Linked DNA regions of Drosophila melanogaster. The protein of the gene in region 2 interacts with the protein of the main gene of each other region in a pairwise test. Each region holds a gene or a part of one and is shown on either strand. Other genes may lie near its edges. The genes, in order: Suv3, CG11523, CG6428 and mtgo.

Region 1 (6,337 bases), on a different chromosome or scaffold from region 2:
GGTCTGTGTTTGTGATTTGTTTTTACAAGGTCGATGCCAAATGACGACTGCTGTCGTCAAGTGCTTGGCTCAGGATGAGACCGACCAAGAGGTAGGGTCATCCGAACAATCTAGCCTAGACTGGGCCATAAAATATTTGTAATTTGGAATCAATTTGGCACACATTTTGTTTATAAAATGTAGGAAATATGAAATATGAAAGCGAACAAGAATAACCAGAATACTCAAATTTTATACGCAAGTACATACACGAAAAGTACATACCAGTACTTATATGTATAACTACTCGAAATTTGAATTTTATGATTGTTTGTGATAAAGAATACTATATGAAATATCAGATGTCCGAATAGAGCGTATTTAAGATTTTGAGTGTACATTTGTACATCTGTGCAAGCTACGGATGAGTGACGAATTTTTGTAATTTACCTTTCTGCATCTTATATTTAAATATTAAGCCCGGCATAAGATGCCCAAAGTCTGTTGAGACTAGCACTTTTTTATTACCCAAATATGAAAACCGAAAACACATAGGAACAATTGTAGCCAATGCATACGTACATACAATACATCAAACCTGCAACTTACATACCTTAACAAACCTACGTACATAGGTAACTCTTGGTTTTTTGATCAAGAGCCATGCGCATGTTCCAGTTTTGATATTCAAAGAAATACAAAAGTATCGGTACCTTAGAATTCGAACGCACAAATACATATTCTACATTCGAAGATAAGTTGGAAAAAATGTTGGTAAAAATACTAGGACATCTGTGAATGCAAGCATGCCGATTCGCGTGCCAGGCGAGAAGATGGATTTTATTAGAGCTTTATTTCGATTTAGGGATCGGACTAAAGAGCACATATGTATTTAGCTGCTCCGCTAAAGTATCTGACTATCGTTGACGGTCGTTGTGGCTGGATTTTGCAATGGTCAATGAAATGAAAGTACTTTGGTTTTGCATTAGAGCGCAAGAATGATATAAGTTAAACTTATAAAAAGAGAAACCTTAAAGCTTTAATAAATATTTAAAGAAATTGTTTTTTAAACTCAAATTAAATCGAAACCTAAAAAAGCAAAACTATTAAGGTGTTGCCATGCGCATCCAGCGTAATATTAATTTGTATGTTGAATCATATTCAGAGTATTTATATCTTTTAAAAATCTGTATGTTTTAAGTGTCGAATATTTTATAACCGCAATTCGAATGAATTGGTGCTCCTTATTACTGCAAAGGCCATATATAAGCTAAGTCTATAACTTCATTTGGGAAGGACAGCGAGGATAAATTTAACTAACTAATCGAAATCGTTAATGTCGGTATTACATATTTCTAAATTCAACAGTGCAACGGCTGTTAGCCTTGACACAAAGTTCATTTTTGTCAAGTGTTTCAGACCAAAGACACTAGAATAACTCTAGTGTCTAATAATTCTAGTGTCTTTGTTCAGACTCTGCGTCCCTCCATAAATTGCAAAAAAAAAAAAAAAAACAAATTCATTTTCTTTTTCTGACAGAGATAACATAATAAAACTTTTAAATTTAAACAATTAAATTGCCATTGTTAATTATCAACTAAATAATTTTAATATAACTTAATTGCCACTTAAAATAAAAGTATATTATATAAAAATCCATTTCTTACCTACTTATTTCGTATTCTAACTAATCCTGAGCTGGCACGTTCATTTTCTGCGTTTTTTCCTTGTCTTTCGCCCGATCCCTGAGTAATTATCCTCGTCGTCACTATTCACCACTGGTTCCGAATTTTCATTAGATTGCGAATTGGATTTGCCAAGTTGCTGGGCGTCCCATTCCTTGCGTAGCTCGCTAAGCATGCCTGGGGTAAGAAGACCCTGTGCAAGTAACCTTTCGGTGAGACGGCCACGCGACAAGCTGGGTAGACGAGGCTCCTTCACGTGCGTTATTCGGCGGATTGCATAGTTTGATGTTTCTCCGTCCTGACTCGCCTCGGTATTTTTAAGCAAGCGAGTTATTTGAAAAACGCCCTGCTGTATAATTTCGTCCAGTTCCTTCTGGGCATCTCGCACGTAGGCCGCTTCAGGGAAGAGATCCATGAACCGATAGCTGCAAAACAAGTTTGATTAGATTTTTTCTGAAGCGCACTTGTGCGAGACTTGCCTTAGCCAAAGATACAGATCCATCACGTCAAAGACGGCCTCAAGATGGACCAGGTCCAATATCGTCTTGGGTAGCTTGAATGGCCAGCCACAGTTTTTTTTTATAAAATCAAAGGTAATAGGCTCGTTGCGGCTGTATTGCCGTGCTACCTTAAGGAACATTGAGCAAACAAAGGGCATCTTTCGATTAATAGGTGCACAGCAGAATACATAGCGAGCCCGCAAAGGCAGAGCAACATGTTGTATCATTTCGGCTAAGAACTTAAAGTCTTCAATGTTGCACATAAAGTATAGAGAATCATCGACAGTGCACAGATTCACGAATATGTCCATTAGGTTGCTCAAAGACGAGCTTGGCAGGTGGTAGGCGTAAAGCTCAATCTGATCGGCCGTAGGATGCAAGCCCGCCTGCTTTATCGGCTCAGGTGTCCGAGCCAATATCCGCTGTAGGGTTTGCAAATCCTCGGACTTGAAGGCAGTTACATATCCGTGCTCCCACTGAGTTCGGAACCGGCCCGCTCTTCCCGCAATCTGAAGTGCGGACGAAACCGATATTGTGTCGATTTCGCGCTCGCCTCGCTCATTCATCGACGGCTTGATCAGTGAGTAAAATATGATTCGACGAATGCTCCTGCAAGTACATTCGCGGGCATTATATTTTGGCAAGCCACATATATAGAATATTTTACTTACAGGTTCAAGCCCATACCGATGGCGTCAGTCGCCACCATTACCTTGCAGCTATTGGCGGGATCATTAAACTTAGCAGCCTGGGCTAGCTTGGTACCTGGGGGTAGGCCCCCATATATCACAGCTACCTCCTTCCCTCTAAAAAAAATAGTTTTAGGGATCAGTTGAAAATAATGACTTAACAAAACTGACCGTGCTTCGATTTCTCGTGAAACCGTATAAATATCATGTTTGCTGAAGCACACAATGCAGTCGCCAGGAACTATATTGTCCAATGATCCTAAAGCGGTATTTTCGACAGTCAGCTCCGTAAGCCGATCGTACAGCCGTACTTCAACAGTTTCGCCAGTGGTTTCGCAAATTTTTTGCAGGAGGTCCAATGCGCCTGGCTCACCACAAACATGCACTTCATCCGCGATCAGTCCAAGGAAGGCACGCGTCCAAGCCCATCCCCGCTGGGGGTCGCGGATCTGTTGTATTTCATCGATTACAGCCACCTCATCTGAAACAGAAAAATCAGCACATTATAACTCAGCGAAGCAGGGAAACAACTGGACTTGCTTACATGGAGTATTCACCGAGGTCATTTCCACAGTGCACGCGACGTGATTGGCTGGCAAACTTTCGCTGATGCCGAATTTGCGCTCCTCGCCTGTGACCAGATCGCAGGGAGTGCCACGTTCATTGGCCTTGTTGTACACCTCAGTGGCTAGAAGCTTTAGTGGCCCGCAATAGACCCCAGTCTTCGCACTCAGGTATCTCTCCATGGCATGGTAAGTCTTACCGGAGTTTGTGGGTCCGGCATGAAAAACAATCTTTCGGGTGATGGCGCGAGCGTTGCTATACCAGTTGGCAGGCTGCCTCAGGTCGGAAATCTTTTTCAGGTCGTCCATGCAGTCCAGGTGCGGGAATACTGTCTTTGCGTGTCGTAGGAAGTACGGGAAGATGTCATCGATATGACCCGCTCCCTGTGTTATATCGCTAAAGGTTATGTGCAGATCTACTGGAAGGTTTTCTGCCTCGATGCAAAATCTTCGGAATGAGCCAAAGGCCTGTTGCTGTAGGTAGTCTTGTAACGGATGCAAAGTAAGACGAGGGACCATAGGAAACAGGTGCATACGTACCGTCCAGTCCGTTTTCGTTGCATAGTGACTTGATTTCGCGACGTTGGGTGAACTTATTAAGAATCTTCAGCAGCTCAGCCTTTTCCAGTTTGCCCGACAGCTCGGAACCTACGTCCTCTGAATCCACATAAGCGTGCACCTGTACTGGCTTGAACAACGTGGACAAGTTCGTCTCCGGTTTTTTTCGAGAAAATAAAAAGGCCGCACGATGCAGTCGGCGCAGGGACAAATCAATTGAAAAGGACGGACGCAGGTAGAGTGTCATCCGCAAAAGGCCCGTTAGGCTGATGCAGCGCCTGCAGTTTTGCATGGTTGTCCACTTTAGTGGAACACGCGTGGTTTTTATTCACCAATTCCCGCAAAATGAATCTCCGTACTCACGTTCCTATCTCTGATATAACAGAGAAGTACAATCAGCTGACGCACATCTGGTTGTTGGGTTGACAATGCTCTTACAGAATAGCATTGCCATATCGATGGTTTTTATGCTACGTATGCGGGGAATTCTTTTGAAAAATTATTAAAAAATTAGTTTTAGAAAACACATCAGAAAAACGATTGTGGAATTTAATTTATACTAAAAAAATATTTTAAAAAAGTATTAAAACATTTAATTGTATTACGACGGATATAAAATAGGATATTTGAGAACATATATGCATTTACAATAAAAAGCAAATAAAATATGTTGTTCCTAGGCAATCGCAAAATATTTATAAATAAAAATGAAAAAATGAAAATTGATTCCACAATAGTCGTTAAAAAATGTAGTATCGGTATTTGGCATTGCATTTTTTCGCAATACAGTCTCGCTTTATATATGGAATATTTTAAAAATATTTTCATAAAATCGATAAAATGAAAAACAATTACGTATTCTAAGCCAGCATACGCAAATAATAAAATTTATTTAATAATCGGTAGATTAAATGTTAATGTCCTTATAAGCAATTTTAAAACTTAATAATAAAAACTCTTTAAATATATCGATCTATCGATGATTGGCTATGCTAACAAGAAGTCATATATATTGGCAACGCTGTGTTTGTTTGTCAGAATCAAAATAAAATGACTCACTTGTTTGTTTAAACAAAAAAAGAATTTTAATAACAATTCCAGACAATTATCATAACAGTTAGTGCCATGGGCTTATTCGGCAGAACTCCCAGTAAAGATCCCAAAGAGCAGGTAACGACGCAGAGGCGTGGCAGTGATTTTTTTGGGAATGATGTCATTCCAGTTGGATTGATTTTATTAGACCTTTCCCCATCTGTCCATTGTGCGTTATGAATATTGTTTTGAAATGTAAATTCCCATTAGGTGCAGGAGTGGACGCATAAGATACGGAAAGAGGGCAACCAGCTGGATCGCCAGATCCGAAGTATCCAGCGCGAGGAAGAGAAAGTAAAACGCTCGCTGAAACAGGCAGCACAGAAAAATGACCGCGACACCTGCGTCATTCTTGCCAAGGAGATTGTGAATGCGCGAAAGGCCATCAACCGCATATATACGTCGAAGGCGCACCTCAACTCCATTCAGATGCAGATGAAAAATCAGCTATGTGAGTGAACTCTTCGCTTGTTTGATACGACCTGATTATCGAATCCTCCTTGCAGCCACCTTGCGTGTAGCTGGATCTCTGCAAAAGTCTACAGAGGTCTTGCAAGCTATGCAGAGCCTGGTGCGCTATCCAGAGCTTGCAGGCATCATGCGCGACATGTCAAAGGAAATGATGAAGGCCGGCATTATTGAGGAGATGCTAGACGAGACCATGGACTCGCTGGAGGAGTCCGAGGAGCTGGAGGAGGAGGCAAGCAAGGAGGTGGACAAGGTTTTGTGGGAGATCACAGATGGCAAGCTCGGGGAAGCTCCCCTGCCTCCAGAGGCTACACCGGCGGACAAGGCGTCTGCGTCTGCTGCGCGCGTCGAGGCTGAGCAGGACGATGAGGAGGGTGAGGAACTGCAAGAGATGCAAAGCCGCCTGGCCTCGCTGCGATCTTAAAACAACTGCTATGGGTATTTTATTTAGATTTGAAATTAAAGGCAAGTGATTTTGACTGGCAGACCTTATCAAAATCATAAACGGCAACCCCCACGCCGTCATTTGATTGTAGAAACCAAAATAATCTCCAGAAACTTGAATTGAGTTTTTATATTATAAGTGTACAGTACACCAGATCAAGAAGTGTTGAACTCTGCGCGTTTTACCGTTGAATCTACACGAGATAACTTAATTTATTGTAAAATCTACCTTTCATTAAAAATCGATATTTACTGTGGCATGTCCCATTTTACAATGGTAATCTGCACGATTTACGATCAATCCCTAAGAATGTTAATTTTCGTCATTTAAGATTAAGCCCTAACGTTGTTTTCTATCC
Region 2 (3,244 bases):
GACATTACGGGGCTGCCGTTTAGTAAGTTCTCAAATTTTGAAACAATAACCGTCGTTAAACCATTTTCCAAATAATTTACTTCCTTATCCTCAGTGATAAATGTGACGCTGCCCGATGACAAGACCAATTACGTTCATCGCATCGGACGTGTGGGCAGGGCGGAACGCATGGGGTTGGCCATTAGTTTGGTGGCAACAGTGCCGGAGAAGGTTTGGTACCACGGCGAGTGGTGCAAGTCGCGCGGCCGTAGCTGCAACAACACAAACTTAACCGAAGTCCGAGGATGCTGCATCTGGTACAACGAACCAAACCTACTGGCCGAAGTTGAGGACCACTTGAACATCACCATCCAGCAGGTGGACAAGACCATGGATGTGCCAGTTAATGACTTCGACGGCAAGGTCGTGTACGGTCAAAAGAATTTAAGAACTGGCAGCGGCTACGAAGACCACGTCGAGCAGCTGGTGCCAACTGTACGCAAACTGACGGAGCTAGAGTTGCAATCACAATCTTTATTCTTGAAACGTCTTAAGGTCTAACGCGGATCTGGAGCGACATTTGTTTGCTATGCAAGGAAAGGATGTGGTGAATTGAGAAGTGCAAGACCAACTCACGCGGAAATACTTTTGCGGCACAAACACACAATTTTGTATATGTAGGAAGTCGGAGCTCAAGCTCTGCTATTAAAAATAAACATTTAATTAAACTAACATTAAAATCGTCTGTCTAAAGAGTAAACAGCCTCGTTTGAAAGCTGGAGTCCGGTTACCGTCACTTCTTCTCCTCCTCCTCCGCCTCCTCCTCCTCCTCCTCGTCCTCCTCGTTGAACTCGGTTCGCATCTGTTGCAGCGCTCTAAGCTGCTGGCACAGCTGGTTGCCGAACGACTCGACGTAGCGGGGGCTGATCTTGTCCAGCAGCGCGTACGGCGTTTCAAATATCTCCTCCTCCTCGTCGTCGCCTTGCTCTTGTCCGTTGCGAAGCAGTGCAGAGATCCGGCTGTCCTCGTCTATGGTGTCGTACTGGGAGGAGACGATCTTGAAGCCACGACTGCTCACCTGAACGCAGCAAGTGGCGCTCTCGATAGTCCGGATGTTCAGGTAAATTTGCGTGGCATCGCTTGCCAGTTTGGATGAGATGCAAATCTCAGCGACGTGAGCCTTAACATCGTTAATTATGGCGTTGGCTTCGTCCTCGCAGTTGAAGGCCTGCTCCTCCCCAGGGTCTGCGGTGGCTTTCGGTTCGCCCATCCTAACAGAATCGCTTCGGAGCTCTGCGGCTCGCCTTTTAATTGAATCCCAGTCGATCTGATTCCCTTTTACAGGCGCAACATGTCGTTCCACTCTACTCCATATGTGTCACAGCAGCTGTGTGGCGTGTGCCACGCGTTAGTACATTTTGACCGATGAAGCGGAGCAGGGCGTTCCGGCCAAACTGAATATAATCGTTATTAATGATTTTACATGCAATTTAGCTTAGTTTTTGGTTTAATAGAAGTTCGTAAGACGTACCGATATAAAACGGTTGCTGTCGTATCGAAAGTATAAATTACTCCTAAATAATTGAAATTGGAATGGAGGGGTGCATAGTATAGATTATGGATTAAGTCCAAAATTTGTATATAGCCTCTTTTTTACATTCTTTTTACAAAACTGTAAATAATTTTAATTTAATTAAATAATTTAAAAAAAAACGAAATAGACAATTTTTTTTATTTTATTATTAGTTCTTAATATATGCTTCCCTTATTTAACTTTGTAATTGTATAATTAAAAAACTTAATTTAATTTTTAAATAAAAAAATATTAATAAAAAAATATTCTGCGAAATGGGTTGCATCAAAAAAAAAAAAACACGTGCACGACCTTTTCCTTGGGTGTTCCCTTTCACCCTTCATTTCTTAGACAATCTCGCTTCCGCCCATACAAATTTTATGCATACAGAAAATGACCTGCGGCCGATCGTTGCTTGTGAGTCGCTCACCAGAAAAGGTTATTGCGCTCGTAATAAAAAACTGTCGGATATTTTTTATTCCCGCAAGTAGAGTGTCAAAAAACACCCGGCTGCCTAGATACAACAGTGTTTAGCGGGTGCACTTGGAGTGCCAGTGGCTTGCTGCAGTTCTCTGGTGCACACTTTCGATGCGATTTCTTACAGTGAGTCCCGTAACAGCAGCTATTAATGTTGCGATAGATGGCGTGTTAGTCCAGAGCTGGAAATCATTGATGTCGGCAGGTAAACCGATAAGATAGAACATCGGTTCAGTTCCATCTCTAATTTCGTTGCGAAAAAAATAAGAATCGAGGCATCGGTACGGACGTCAAAAACTGCAATTATAAGAGTACACGCACAGATTGTGGTTCTTGGCAGGCACAGACTTTCACTGCGTGTGACAGCGATCGCTAGTGCAAGTTACCCGTTCGCAGTCAAAGTGACACAGGCATCAGGATGAGCGCACCTGGCATGGACAAGAGAAAACTGTCGTAAGTATTTTGTAGTGCTCCTTCATTTTTCCTCCACGGCGCACACACACGCGCCGTCGGCAGAGTACACACACTCAGCCCGTGCGCGAGTGTGAGTAGCAGCTGCGCGCAGGCAGCGCGGTCGGCGCGAAATTGATTTTTCGCGGCAGAAGTTTTCTCGAGCCAGCAGGCACTTTCCTTTCCACGTCGGGATAAACAAGGAACCGGGTCAGGGGTAATAATGGGCTCCGGTAGTGGGAAGGGGAGGGCAGCTGCGGCTGGAGTTTGATTTCGGACAAGCGAATTCGTCCTGGGCAAGGCCAAGGACAAATTTGGCCATTTGACGGAATTCGATTTTTATTTGATTTCAATAATCGTTAGTTAAAATCTTAGTGGCATAGTTTCAACTTATGTTGCATTAGGCAGGAAAATGTAAAAGGTAGAAAAAAGGCTACGCACATCATCGATCAAGACTCGAGCCGATATCATTCAGATATGTGCTATGTAATACATACAGACCATTATTAGAATTACACATTATAACTACACAGTATGAGAATTTCCTCTTCCTTTCTCCTCTTCCTCTTGCATTCTTCTCGGTTGGCCACACCTCTTTTGCCCGCAAATCGCACGATTTCAATTGTTTAATAGAGAAAAAATGAGTCGAATACTTCATTTTATAAATATTGTTCTATTTAAATTGTTCAATGTTTGGGTCTTCGTGCAACACATACCGATTCCGGCATAAGTGCGCGATAACAACAGACCTACAGATCCAATAAC
Region 3 (5,453 bases), on a different chromosome or scaffold from region 2:
ATGCGGACTGGCTATCTGAAGGACCGATTATATATCCACGGTGGCTGCGCAGCGCTAGCTATCGACATTGACTGCAACGAGAGAGGGTTTACCATATAGCTAACATATATCATCCGCTTCCGATCGGCTAGAATTGTCTTTAGCTTTGAATTTGCGTTTCTTGTTGTTCTTTTTATTTTATGGAATTCGTGGCACTGACGTGTGCACCTCTCTATAGATGTGTGCGTGTGTGTGCGGCTGTGTGTGTGCGAGTGGGGCTGTGTGTGTGTTTTGTTTGCTGTTTTTCCAGCGCTTGTGTCGATTTTCGCCTGGTTTCTGAGTTACAAGCCACTAAGCACTAGATTGCAACGTAAGAGCTTTCTTATGTGCACGCTGACAGATGTATATTTACCAATTCTAATTAATGCCAGCGTAAAAACAATTCGATACCAGGGCTGCGCAACAACTGAATAGGGTCACAAAGCCCTGGTAAGTTATCGAATGACAGATGGCTCGATAGCACTTGCGCTCGTAATCAATCAATCGATTACAAACTAATTCAAAAATTTTGCATTAATTTCAAATTGATTTTATTTATTTTCATACAACAAATTATACTAGTTTGTGTATATAACTTGTTATACAACCGTTTAATATGTCTGATGCTTAATTTTAGACATGATTGGTTAATTTTTGGTTTTGGCTAATAATATTATTGCATACAATGGATACATTAGTAAATAAGGACTACTTAAAAACAGGTCAGGGATTCGACACTTAATAATAAAAACTACCACGACAACATCGTTAATATGCGAGTTATGCAAAACTGATAATAAGGAACCATTAGACTAGATGCAACACTTAAGTACAAAAGAAATAACCCTAGCCTCCAGTGTTTGTTTTTTTCTTCATGCTGCAGGAACAAGGAACGAGGTATGTATGGTTCGGAAGAGATTTCTATGATTTTAGGACCTCCATAACCGCTGCGTGTCCGCCGCGCTCCGCATAATCCATGGCGGTCAGGCCGAGCATGTCCTTCTCGTTCGGATTCTCGAAATAGGGCAGGACGTATTGCACCACCTCCGGAAATCCGTGCAGTGCTGCCACGTGCAAGGCCGTCCTGCCCGAAGGATCCGACTGGGCAAGATCGGCACCGGCGTATTGATAGGACTTCAATCTGATCATCGATCCCCTAGCAGCGGCCGCGCACAATTGCTCGCCCACCGCTCGCGAAGAGCCCGTCAAATGAGCACCACAGTTGATGAGCAACTGGATGATCTCGTGGCTATCGGTGGCGACAGCCTCCAGAAGTGGAGTGCGGTCATACCGATCACGCACGTGCACGGACACCCCGTTCTGCAGTAGGTACTTAACGATCTCCACGTTTCCCAGCTGACAAGCCAAGTGTAGGGCCGTTCGCTGGTCATGATTTGTGCCCGACAAGTCGGCGCCATAGGCTTTCAAGTTGTTGATCTTCTTGGGATCACCTTCGGCCACAGCGGCGTTGATCATGGCCGGAAAGAGCGTTTCGCCCAGCTGATCCAGTTCTTGGGGCGAGGACAAGTGCAGAGACCGTGCCACTGCGTCCACCAAGTCGTAGTCCTCCATTTTGGGAGCCTTTAAGGAGGTCAGTTCGCCCCTCAGGCTTGACTGCATCATCTATGAAATGCACACATTGTGGATTATCCATATTTATGTATGTATTGAATTATAGTCGAAACTTACCTGCTTCTTCATATCGAGTGACCACTCCTCCTTGCCGATGACATAGGCCAGCTTGGCCAGCGCCGCCTCGGGCGTCATATCGAAACCGGGAATTACACCGACATCGCAGAGCACCTTGCCCGTATCGTAGATCTCCGCCACTGTGCCATTGGGACACTGTGTACAATTGATGATGATAACGCCTCGTTCACCAGCCGCACGCAGTTCATCGATGAGATCTTTTCGGTTCGATGGTATGTTTCCAGATCCGAAGGATTGCAGGACAACGCCGCGAATCGGTGGCGCCAGGAAAGCCCGGAATGTGGAGTGCGAAATGCTCGGAAAGATTCGCAGCAAGCCGACGTTCTCGTCGAGATTCAAGTGTACGCAAAACCTTTCAATAGTGCATGGCCGGAATATCAGGCGGTAGTCGACGTTCACATCAATGCCGATCCTGGCCAGTGGTGGAACATTCGGTGAGTCGAACGCGTCTAAGGCATTCGAACTGACCTTCACCGTCCGATTGCCGCGCATCAACTTATGGCCAAAGAAGATGCAAACCTCCGGAATGATGTAGTTACCGGCTATGATCAAGGCTGACGTAAAATTGTCCTTGCCATCGGTTCGCGTCTCAAAGATGGGTATTTGGGAGCCCGTGATGATCACCGTCTTGCCCAAATTTTCCAACATGAAAGACAATGCAGATGCGGTGTAGGAAAGCGTGTCGGTGCCATGGAGCACCACAAAGCCATCGAAGAACTCGTACGATTGCTAGACAATAATTTGGAAAGGATTAATATTACCTTTCATATATATATATATGTATGTACCTGAATATCGCTGGCGATTCGCGCCCAATCGTTCATCGTCATATTGCTGCTGTCCAGCAGCGGTGTATATTCCGAGATCTGGTAGATAACCCGGCGATCTACGCCCTGCACAATGGGCAGCACCAGTGGAGCCATCGATGCAGATGCTCCAAAGCGGCGCAGCGCGTACTCCTCATCGTGGATGTTTGGATATTTGCGGATGCTGCGCACCAGGGCATTGGGAATGGGAGCTAACACTGCGATAATTATAGAATATTAATATTGATAGTCACAAACTCCGTGACAAATTAGTTTCCTAATCAAGATGATGATTTATGGTCACGCTTCGTGTGTCAAATGTTTACTAAAATACCTAATTAGACCACTCAATAAATAGCAAGCAAATAGTCAATATTTAAATAGAAGCATCAACAATCTGTTGACTGCCAATTGATTTGTTTTGTTTACATTCATACCAACAATTTCAACTTTCATACATATTATTCGAATAAAATGTTTTCAAGTGCATTGCTCTTATCATATCTGGCCATTTTCTAAGACTCCCCTTGTTAGTAAAAGTGGGATCTTATCTACATGGACAGATTCGGGCAATCCCAATGAATCCTCGTATTCGTGACATTCTGGGCTGCTTACCATTCCGCTCGTTGCGCACCATGCCGATGGTGCCGCCAGTGTAGATGACCTTCACCCGGGCCTCTTTGACATCCTGGGCCATGAGTTTTCCATCACTTTTATTCCTGCGGATCGTGGGACTCGGCAGAGTGGGCGATGCCGGCGGCATGCTTTTGTCCAGCGAGGCCAGCCTCTCGTGACCATTGGTCTTCAGGACGGGAATATCCATAATATAGAGTAAAGAGTATAGAGGATGATGGACTGCGGAGCGCCGGTTGCGAAGCTGTGTGCCTTATCACTGGCTGCTCAGATGGTGTCGTTCCGACGCGTAAACAGCAAATCCATTAACAGCCCGTGCCGTTGATGATTATTTGGCCAACTCGTTATCGTGCTAATCCGGATCGGATCCGAAGTAGTGAAATAATAATTCGCGGGGGGACGCCGAGATAGCACGTGGTATTGGGACTCTATCGCAGAGGAAATTGAAACGAAAAGCCCAAATCACGGCGGCGCAATCACTTATATATAGATAACCGCACCAGACTTTGGCCCACGACGTACATGACTAATCTAATGAAATTCAAATGAAATTCCGCTGATTGCAATATTTTGGTCATAAATAAACACCCAATCAGCTGTGCGACTATCGATAGTTCGCAGTGCCATAATATCAATTCCAATTAGACTTTATTTTGTCTAACTTATAACAAAATTCTTTTTATTTTTCTAGCCTTTCTAAAACTTTTCTATATATATATATATATATATATATTTTTTTTATTGCCAAAGCTCTATTATTTTCTCAATTGTTTTGTTTACACATACTTAACTTTTTACGTCGATGCGGCAACGCTGAGCCATCAGTGCCAAAATACCCAACACTGGTTAACTGCTCAATACCACAGGTCTGGCAGCGCAAAAGCTTGTGCCCGTCTGGCAGCTCCAAAATCCCGTTAAGTTGGCGGCAAATGCGCAAAAAATTTAAGTACAGTAAAATTTATAATTTGTGGTGAAATACAACAATTGAATGAGACAAAATGTGAATTGAATTTGAACAACGACTTGATGGACGACTACAGCTCGTTGTGGGCGTGACTGGCGGGCAAATGGGGCTGCAGGTCCCGCCAAAAGTCGACCCGGTGCTGCATAAGCTCGTTTTCAAGTCGAAAAATGGATGCGGAGTCCTCCATTTTGGTGCCCAGTCGAGCGAATTCCACTGGATAACTAGAGGCGGGACTCCAGTTCGGCAGATGAAAGCTAACATTCGTGGGATTTGGATTGCTGTGGAGAAATTATCATTAGTTTCGATTAAAAAAAAGAGTTATATTTAAATGGCATATACCCGGTCTTCGCAAAGCTAACCCACAGATGGAGCATTAATTCGCGGAGTTCCAGATCCTTTTGCGTCGGCACCGCACTCACAAATAACTCCCGGCCAATGGGGAACAAGTACTGGAGCTCCTCGGCATGGCACGCTCCATAGAACTCGTTTCGGCCGCCCTTGAAAATCTCCGTAAAACTGGCAGCTCCCTTGTGATCGAATAGGTATACATAGGTGGGGGCCACGTCCTCTTGGGACATGCGGAGGCGCAAGTACTCATCGATTCCGGCCACAAACCATCCATCCGAGATCAGCTAAAATGGAGTAAGGAGTTTGTACACAGATGCTGATTGGATTAATGAACTCTTAATTCATCTAGATTGGCGATCCGTCCACTCACGTCGGTCAGGTTCTGGTGGTTGGCCTTGTCGTAATCGTGGCCCGACTTGAAGTAGAAGCTTTCGATGCGCTGCGTAATCGTTTGCCGCACGGAATCGTCATGATGATCGTAGTTGAGCACGACGGGCAGGACCTGCTCAAACTGAGACTTAAACTCGGCCAACAGCTGGGGAAGATTGAGCAGGGCGGCGGTCTTCAGGAGACCTTCCTCGGCGGTGGCGCCCACCATGAGTGGAAGTTGCAGTCCATGTGGCTTGGCCGCCTGGCGAGGTGCCACTGTGAGGAAGGCGCCATCGTGCTCCGGTTCGACCACGGGCGGAAATGGTATCATCGGATCAAAGTCCCAGACCTGCAATACAAAAGAAAGCTAAAGGTAAAGCTTGACCTTCCCTTCACCATATTTGTTTAATAACAGCTGCATTGTACTCATTTTTGGTCAATACCAGCTCTACCTTTTTTCAACAAAAGTCTTGCTGGTGACACTCTCCGTTTTGTATATCAATTGTAACAAAAGTAATTTACATAAGTGGCGATTTGGAGAGCCTTCATTGAAATTGGTTATAAGGCTACGTCTAGCTTTGAATGTAAATTGCATAATTGTACTA
Region 4 (4,875 bases), on a different chromosome or scaffold from region 2:
TGGCATACATAGCACGGCGAATTATTTGTGTGTGCCGATGTGCGGATATACAAATGTGTGCCTTTATAAGTGTGCTTTTATCAGGGTGCGTCAATCTAAGCCAAGTTCTGAATTTACGAAAGTCTTGAAATGCCAAGTATATTCTTATAAAGGTTTAAGCGCTAAAAGGAAATCAACAGTCCGCAAAAATAGCTGATCTTAATATTTCTTCTATTAAAAAAAAAGCACTTAATTTTAGTTCAGATCTTTACTTAGTTTAAGTCCTATATGCATGAACAAGTTTAATCAATATTGAAGTTTTTTATATTTAGCTTCGAACAAATTGCTCCACCCTAATGCTCCTGTATCCTTGTTCGCGATGAGCGTATACCCAGACAACGAAATGTCACAGCAGCCTACTTATGCTTTTTTCGCATCGCGTTTTATCCCCAAATGTGTGTGCGATTTTTGGTTCAGCTTTTTGGCATATGGTCGCCGTGCCGGAAAAGTGGGAAACCGGTAAGGGGGCTGCTTTCCCATTTGCAGTTTGGCTGAAAAGCTGTTTCGCTTATTTCCCTCTTTTTTAGTCAACCGTTTCTAGATAAATATTTTGCAACACCGCATCGCATTTCCATGATTAGCAGATAAACATATGCCAAGTTGCAAACTTGGCGTGTGTGTTCGGAGTGTAGAAGTTTAGAGAATCCCTGGGTAGTGGGCGGTTATACACGCGACTTTAATTGAGCTTTCAAGAGGACTAAGTTAAACATACAAATGTTTGCTTAGGATGCAACAGCTGTTGGCTGTGAGTTAAAAATTGTTCGAAAAAAACCTCTTTGGAGAAGTGGAATATCTTAAAATATTTAAATTTAAAATTTGATTTAAAACAATAAATGACGTAAGGTTTTTAAATTATAGTATAAAAATACTAGATTAATCGAAAATTAATGAAGTTTTGTATACCGCATTGAAACTGTGTATCTAAAGCTTTTAACTATTTAATGCCCAAAATTGCCTAATAGCGGTTCAGTTTAAAATAAAAAAAAATTTAATTACCCGTTATTATCACAAAATATATTCCTCACTAACTAAAATCCTTTTATCTTTAACCCCACACCCATTGTCATTCCATTTGGTTGGAATGTAACGCCTGCCCTTAATTCAATTAACTTTAATGAACCAAATTATAATTGCAAATAAATTATCTTATTAAAGACGCAGAAAGTTCGCACTCTTGCCTTTTAGTAGCACTAAAACTCTGAAAACGGCGTCAAGGCCAATTAGAAAACTTTGTCCAAACATCTCACTACCAAGAAGGACGAAACTGAAACTTATCTTTTGGATCAGCAAGAGCCCATTTTCACCCAAAAAAACCCCGTGTGTCTGGGCGACAATCTAGCATATGCCAAAGTAAAAAGCTCACCAAAGTCAAACTCGATTAAAAATGCATAAATGCAATTAAACGCAAATGGAAATCGAACCAAACTCGCAAAAGCTTCAAGCGAAAACGCCTCGAGGTGGAAAAGCCAAAGAGATACACTTTCCAAGAATTCCACTTTTTTCACAGACATTTGTTTTTAAGCCTAGAAGTTTAAAAGTATTAATGGATTTGCAACACATACAACATTAAATACAAGTGATTATATAATAATTTTATAATTATATAATTAAATTTTTTATTTAAATTAATTTTTACTCAGAAACATTTGATAGTACGGTATATACCCATAATTTTATTCAGTGTATGAAAGCAAAAAATGTAAAAGATATATGTAAAGAGGCAGTGGGCGGTGGGAGGAGGCCAGATATCCAAAAGACGCGACAAGTGTCGGCCGAGCTTTGTTTGGCGCAAAGAGAGCAGCGCACTTCGAAGAGCAAAAAGCGCGAAGCCAAAAATCCAAAGACGACCATAGATAGTAAATTGCAAAGTTTATGCCGCCAAGTTCATGAAATTGTAATAGCTTCATACCACGGTTATGCTTCACCAAAGTGGTCATACAATTAAAAAAATTACGTACACCTAACTTTAATCCATTAAACTCGTACATTTATAATTATAATTTCTGATTTGGCGGAATTAATGAACTAAGTACATCGTGCATTCATTTTGCTATTGGGTCCACGCATGAGCTTTGTAACAGTAAAAGAAGCCCTGACCATGCAGTTGCGTCAATGGGTGCGAGGGAGAAGGGTGAGTGTGGGAGCAGGAGGTGGGCTTGGGTATTAGAGAGAGAGAGAGTGGGAGAGCGCGAGAGGCACTGGTTGAGTTGGTTTTGCTGACTGCACTTGTTTTGCCATCGTAGTTATTGTTTTTGTTGCTTGCAACGTTTTGCTGCCACTTGGCCGCAAAGGCAACAAAAACAAACACACACTAATACACGTGCGCGTTATTGCCAATTCACCCACATACACACAAACAACAGTTAGCCGCCGCTTGTGTGTGTGTGTACGCTAACATATTGAACGCATTTTTTCATATTTCTCAATGGAAAAGCCAACTCTAAACACCGTTAATATCATCCATATTAGTTAGTTGTCATTTGTGAGAGAAGAAAATGTGAAAAACATGTAAATTGCTGGGCAAAATAATGCAACATATGCTAGCACCACACTCTGATATTATCAACTTACTTTGCAAGTATTTGCCTTTGAATTTGGATTTGATTTTGCTTTTGTTTTCTATTTATTTATTTGTTGCTTTTTGGTTTTATTTCTTGCTGCACTCACTAACACAGAAACACACACGTACGCGCTAAACACGAAAAGCAGCCAATATATTTTATTCGTTTTGATTTTCACTGCTTGGAAATTTTCGCATTTCCATTTTCGAAATGCGTAACAACAAGTATTCTGTGGTTGAACAAACAACGATTTACGCGAATATAATAAAATAACGATAAACGGTTATTACGATGGTTTCCGCTGGCCAAAAACCTGCGACGAAATAGTCAACTGAGGGGAAAACAAGTAACAATTGTACCTGCCGAATTTGTTTTTAAACGCTTGCCAGCTTTTCTGATTTTCCGATGCGAACGCGCGCGCTGCGAAAAACATATTCGAAGCGAGTCGGAGAAGCCCCTCTATATAGATTCTCTCCGGCGCTTGAAAACAATTCGCATTGAGTGAGTTACGAAAAGCGGCTGATTCGGGCGCCAATTTGCTCCCACGAATTCTGCACGCTCTTACTCCAACGCATTGGAATGCTCCGCGCTCTTGAGCGCTTTCTGCACTGTTCGCTCGCTAACGGTAGTTCATGTGACGTTAACGTAAAGCTTGTTTCATTGCTTCATTATTGCAATGCAAAAATTTACATTATTTCTTCTAACTTACCCATTAACCGAATTAAATCTAATATCTAACATCAAATAAGTCGTTATCTAAATTATTGTTTTAATTTTTTATTTGACCTGGGCTTTTCTATCGAATTCTATGTAATTCAATGCAAAAATTGAAGTTGTTAGTATTTTTTCTTTGTGCATAAGAGTAAGCAATTGTTGCTTTCGTGCGCTCTCTCTTTTTCACTATCTTTTAACCCGTTCGTTTGCGTGGGTGCCAGGGAAATTTCCACCCACTGAAAGTCCTAAAATTGAGTTATTAAGTGAATCAAGGGCCAGCAAGGTTTTTGAGCATAGTTATTTGAATGTCCAGAAGATCAGCTTATTACCAAATGCATTTATTTGATTACTCTATCATGTGACACTACGTGTACAAAAATTATATGAATAAGATATTTACGTAATGAAGCCGAGTACGACTTAACAATATTTTAAACTTAAAGCTAAATATACATTTTATAATTTGAATAAGAATAGGATTGGGAAATTCATATTTAAGGACGGGCTTAATATATAATATAAAATATCCCTTTTGGCGTCGACTGCGCTGCATTTCCTCTGCCGTCGTTTTTGTTCCAAAAATCGCGTGGGAGAGTGAGTGAATAAAGGAAAGGTTGGAAGAGGGAGAGGGAGAGAGTGAGAGTGAGTAGGTGAGTCCAGATTGAGTTATTTTTCCAAGCCTGCAACCTGTATGAAATTATGGCTCAAGAGGCCAAAAGCTTTACGCGGTTGAAAATTGTTGCTTTTGCGACGCCGGCCGAAATGCAAACAGCTGTTTGCAGAATACAACAAATAATAAATAACTTGAACTTCAAAGCAAAACGGAAGGAAGATTTCAATATTTCATGGAAAAAAAAAGAAAGAAACTGGCTAACAACTTCATACATATATAAATTTTAGTATACGTAATATTATTTGAAATCTAGGCAATTTTGTATTATCAAAGGTCAATTGAACAATATACATAAGTGGGAGAATCGAAAAATGACTCGTAATATAAGTCTAGTCCTGCTAATCCGTTTTGCAATGGACACCACATTATTCAAGTCAATTTCTATAAAATATATAATAAAATGATAATTGAAATTCATTTTCTAAGCTACGTTATAGATTGTAAATCTTTTTGTATAATTTATTTTTCAAAATACCGTTAATCCTTTTAAATGAACCCGACTGGGAGGATACATTTCTGTTGAAATTCTTACGTATGTAAATACTTCAATGAAATTGTTAACAAAATCTCCGTATAACACTAGTACTTACAAAACTTTTACAAGAGCTTAAGGAAAGCGTTAGCATATAACCAAACCATTGCGGTAGGTGTCCACGCTAAAATGTAAATTAAATGTGAAAGCCGGAAATACAGTTTCAAGTCATTTCCGGAACTATTCTGGAATCCATTCTATCCAAGTTACAACATAATAAACTCCTTAAAGGGCTATACAAATATTTGGACTAACCAAGTAAAGTTGGGTATGAAAATATTTTATTTTAATAACTGTATATTCCCTTAAAAATGGAATAGGAATAATTTCGCTGTCCTCATTATTTTGTCGCTTCT

The links.
Region 1: the proteins of CG11523 (region 2) and Suv3 interact in a two-hybrid assay, tested with the Drosophila melanogaster proteins (one large-scale study listed by BioGRID).
Region 3: the proteins of CG11523 (region 2) and CG6428 interact in a two-hybrid assay, tested with the Drosophila melanogaster proteins (one large-scale study listed by BioGRID).
Region 4: the proteins of CG11523 (region 2) and mtgo interact in a two-hybrid assay, tested with the Drosophila melanogaster proteins (one large-scale study listed by BioGRID).

What each region holds. Positions count from the first base shown.
Region 1 is NT_033777.3:4,309,594-4,315,930, reverse strand, and holds Suv3 (Suv3 helicase), read right to left. Parts: upstream 4,377-6,337; 5' UTR 4,267-4,376; coding exon 3,957-4,266; intron 3,902-3,956; coding exon 3,398-3,901; intron 3,335-3,397; coding exon 3,025-3,334; intron 2,971-3,024; coding exon 2,836-2,970; intron 2,774-2,835; coding exon 2,144-2,773; intron 2,090-2,143; coding exon 1,687-2,089; 3' UTR 533-1,686; downstream 1-532. Other genes in the region: Vps24 (vacuolar protein sorting 24), read left to right, coding at 5,100-5,144, 5,277-5,517, 5,573-5,958; MP1 (melanization protease 1), read right to left, coding at 6,312-6,337. UniProt on the Drosophila melanogaster protein: Major helicase player in mitochondrial RNA metabolism and maintenance. Likely component of the mitochondrial degradosome (mtEXO) complex, that degrades 3' overhang double-stranded RNA with a 3'-to-5' directionality in an ATP-dependent manner.
Region 2 is NT_037436.4:22,265,306-22,268,549, forward strand, and holds CG11523 (uncharacterized protein), read right to left. Parts: upstream 1,375-3,244; 5' UTR 1,250-1,374; coding exon 773-1,249; 3' UTR 541-772; downstream 1-540. Other genes in the region: Ddx1 (Dead-box-1), read left to right, coding at 1-22, 95-540; Csp (cysteine string protein), read left to right, coding at 2,448-2,482.
Region 3 is NC_004354.4:3,964,881-3,970,333, forward strand, and holds CG6428 (uncharacterized protein), read right to left. Parts: upstream 3,776-5,453; 5' UTR 3,358-3,775; coding exon 3,150-3,357; intron 2,753-3,149; coding exon 2,517-2,752; intron 2,458-2,516; coding exon 1,708-2,457; intron 1,642-1,707; coding exon 940-1,641; 3' UTR 555-939; downstream 1-554. Other genes in the region: CG6414 (uncharacterized protein), read right to left, coding at 4,202-4,409, 4,471-4,763, 4,850-5,197.
Region 4 is NT_033779.5:16,543,174-16,548,048, reverse strand, and holds the start of mtgo (miles to go), read right to left. Parts: upstream 3,034-4,875; 5' UTR 2,611-3,033; intron 1-2,610. Other genes in the region: CG31816 (uncharacterized protein), read right to left, coding at 4,874-4,875.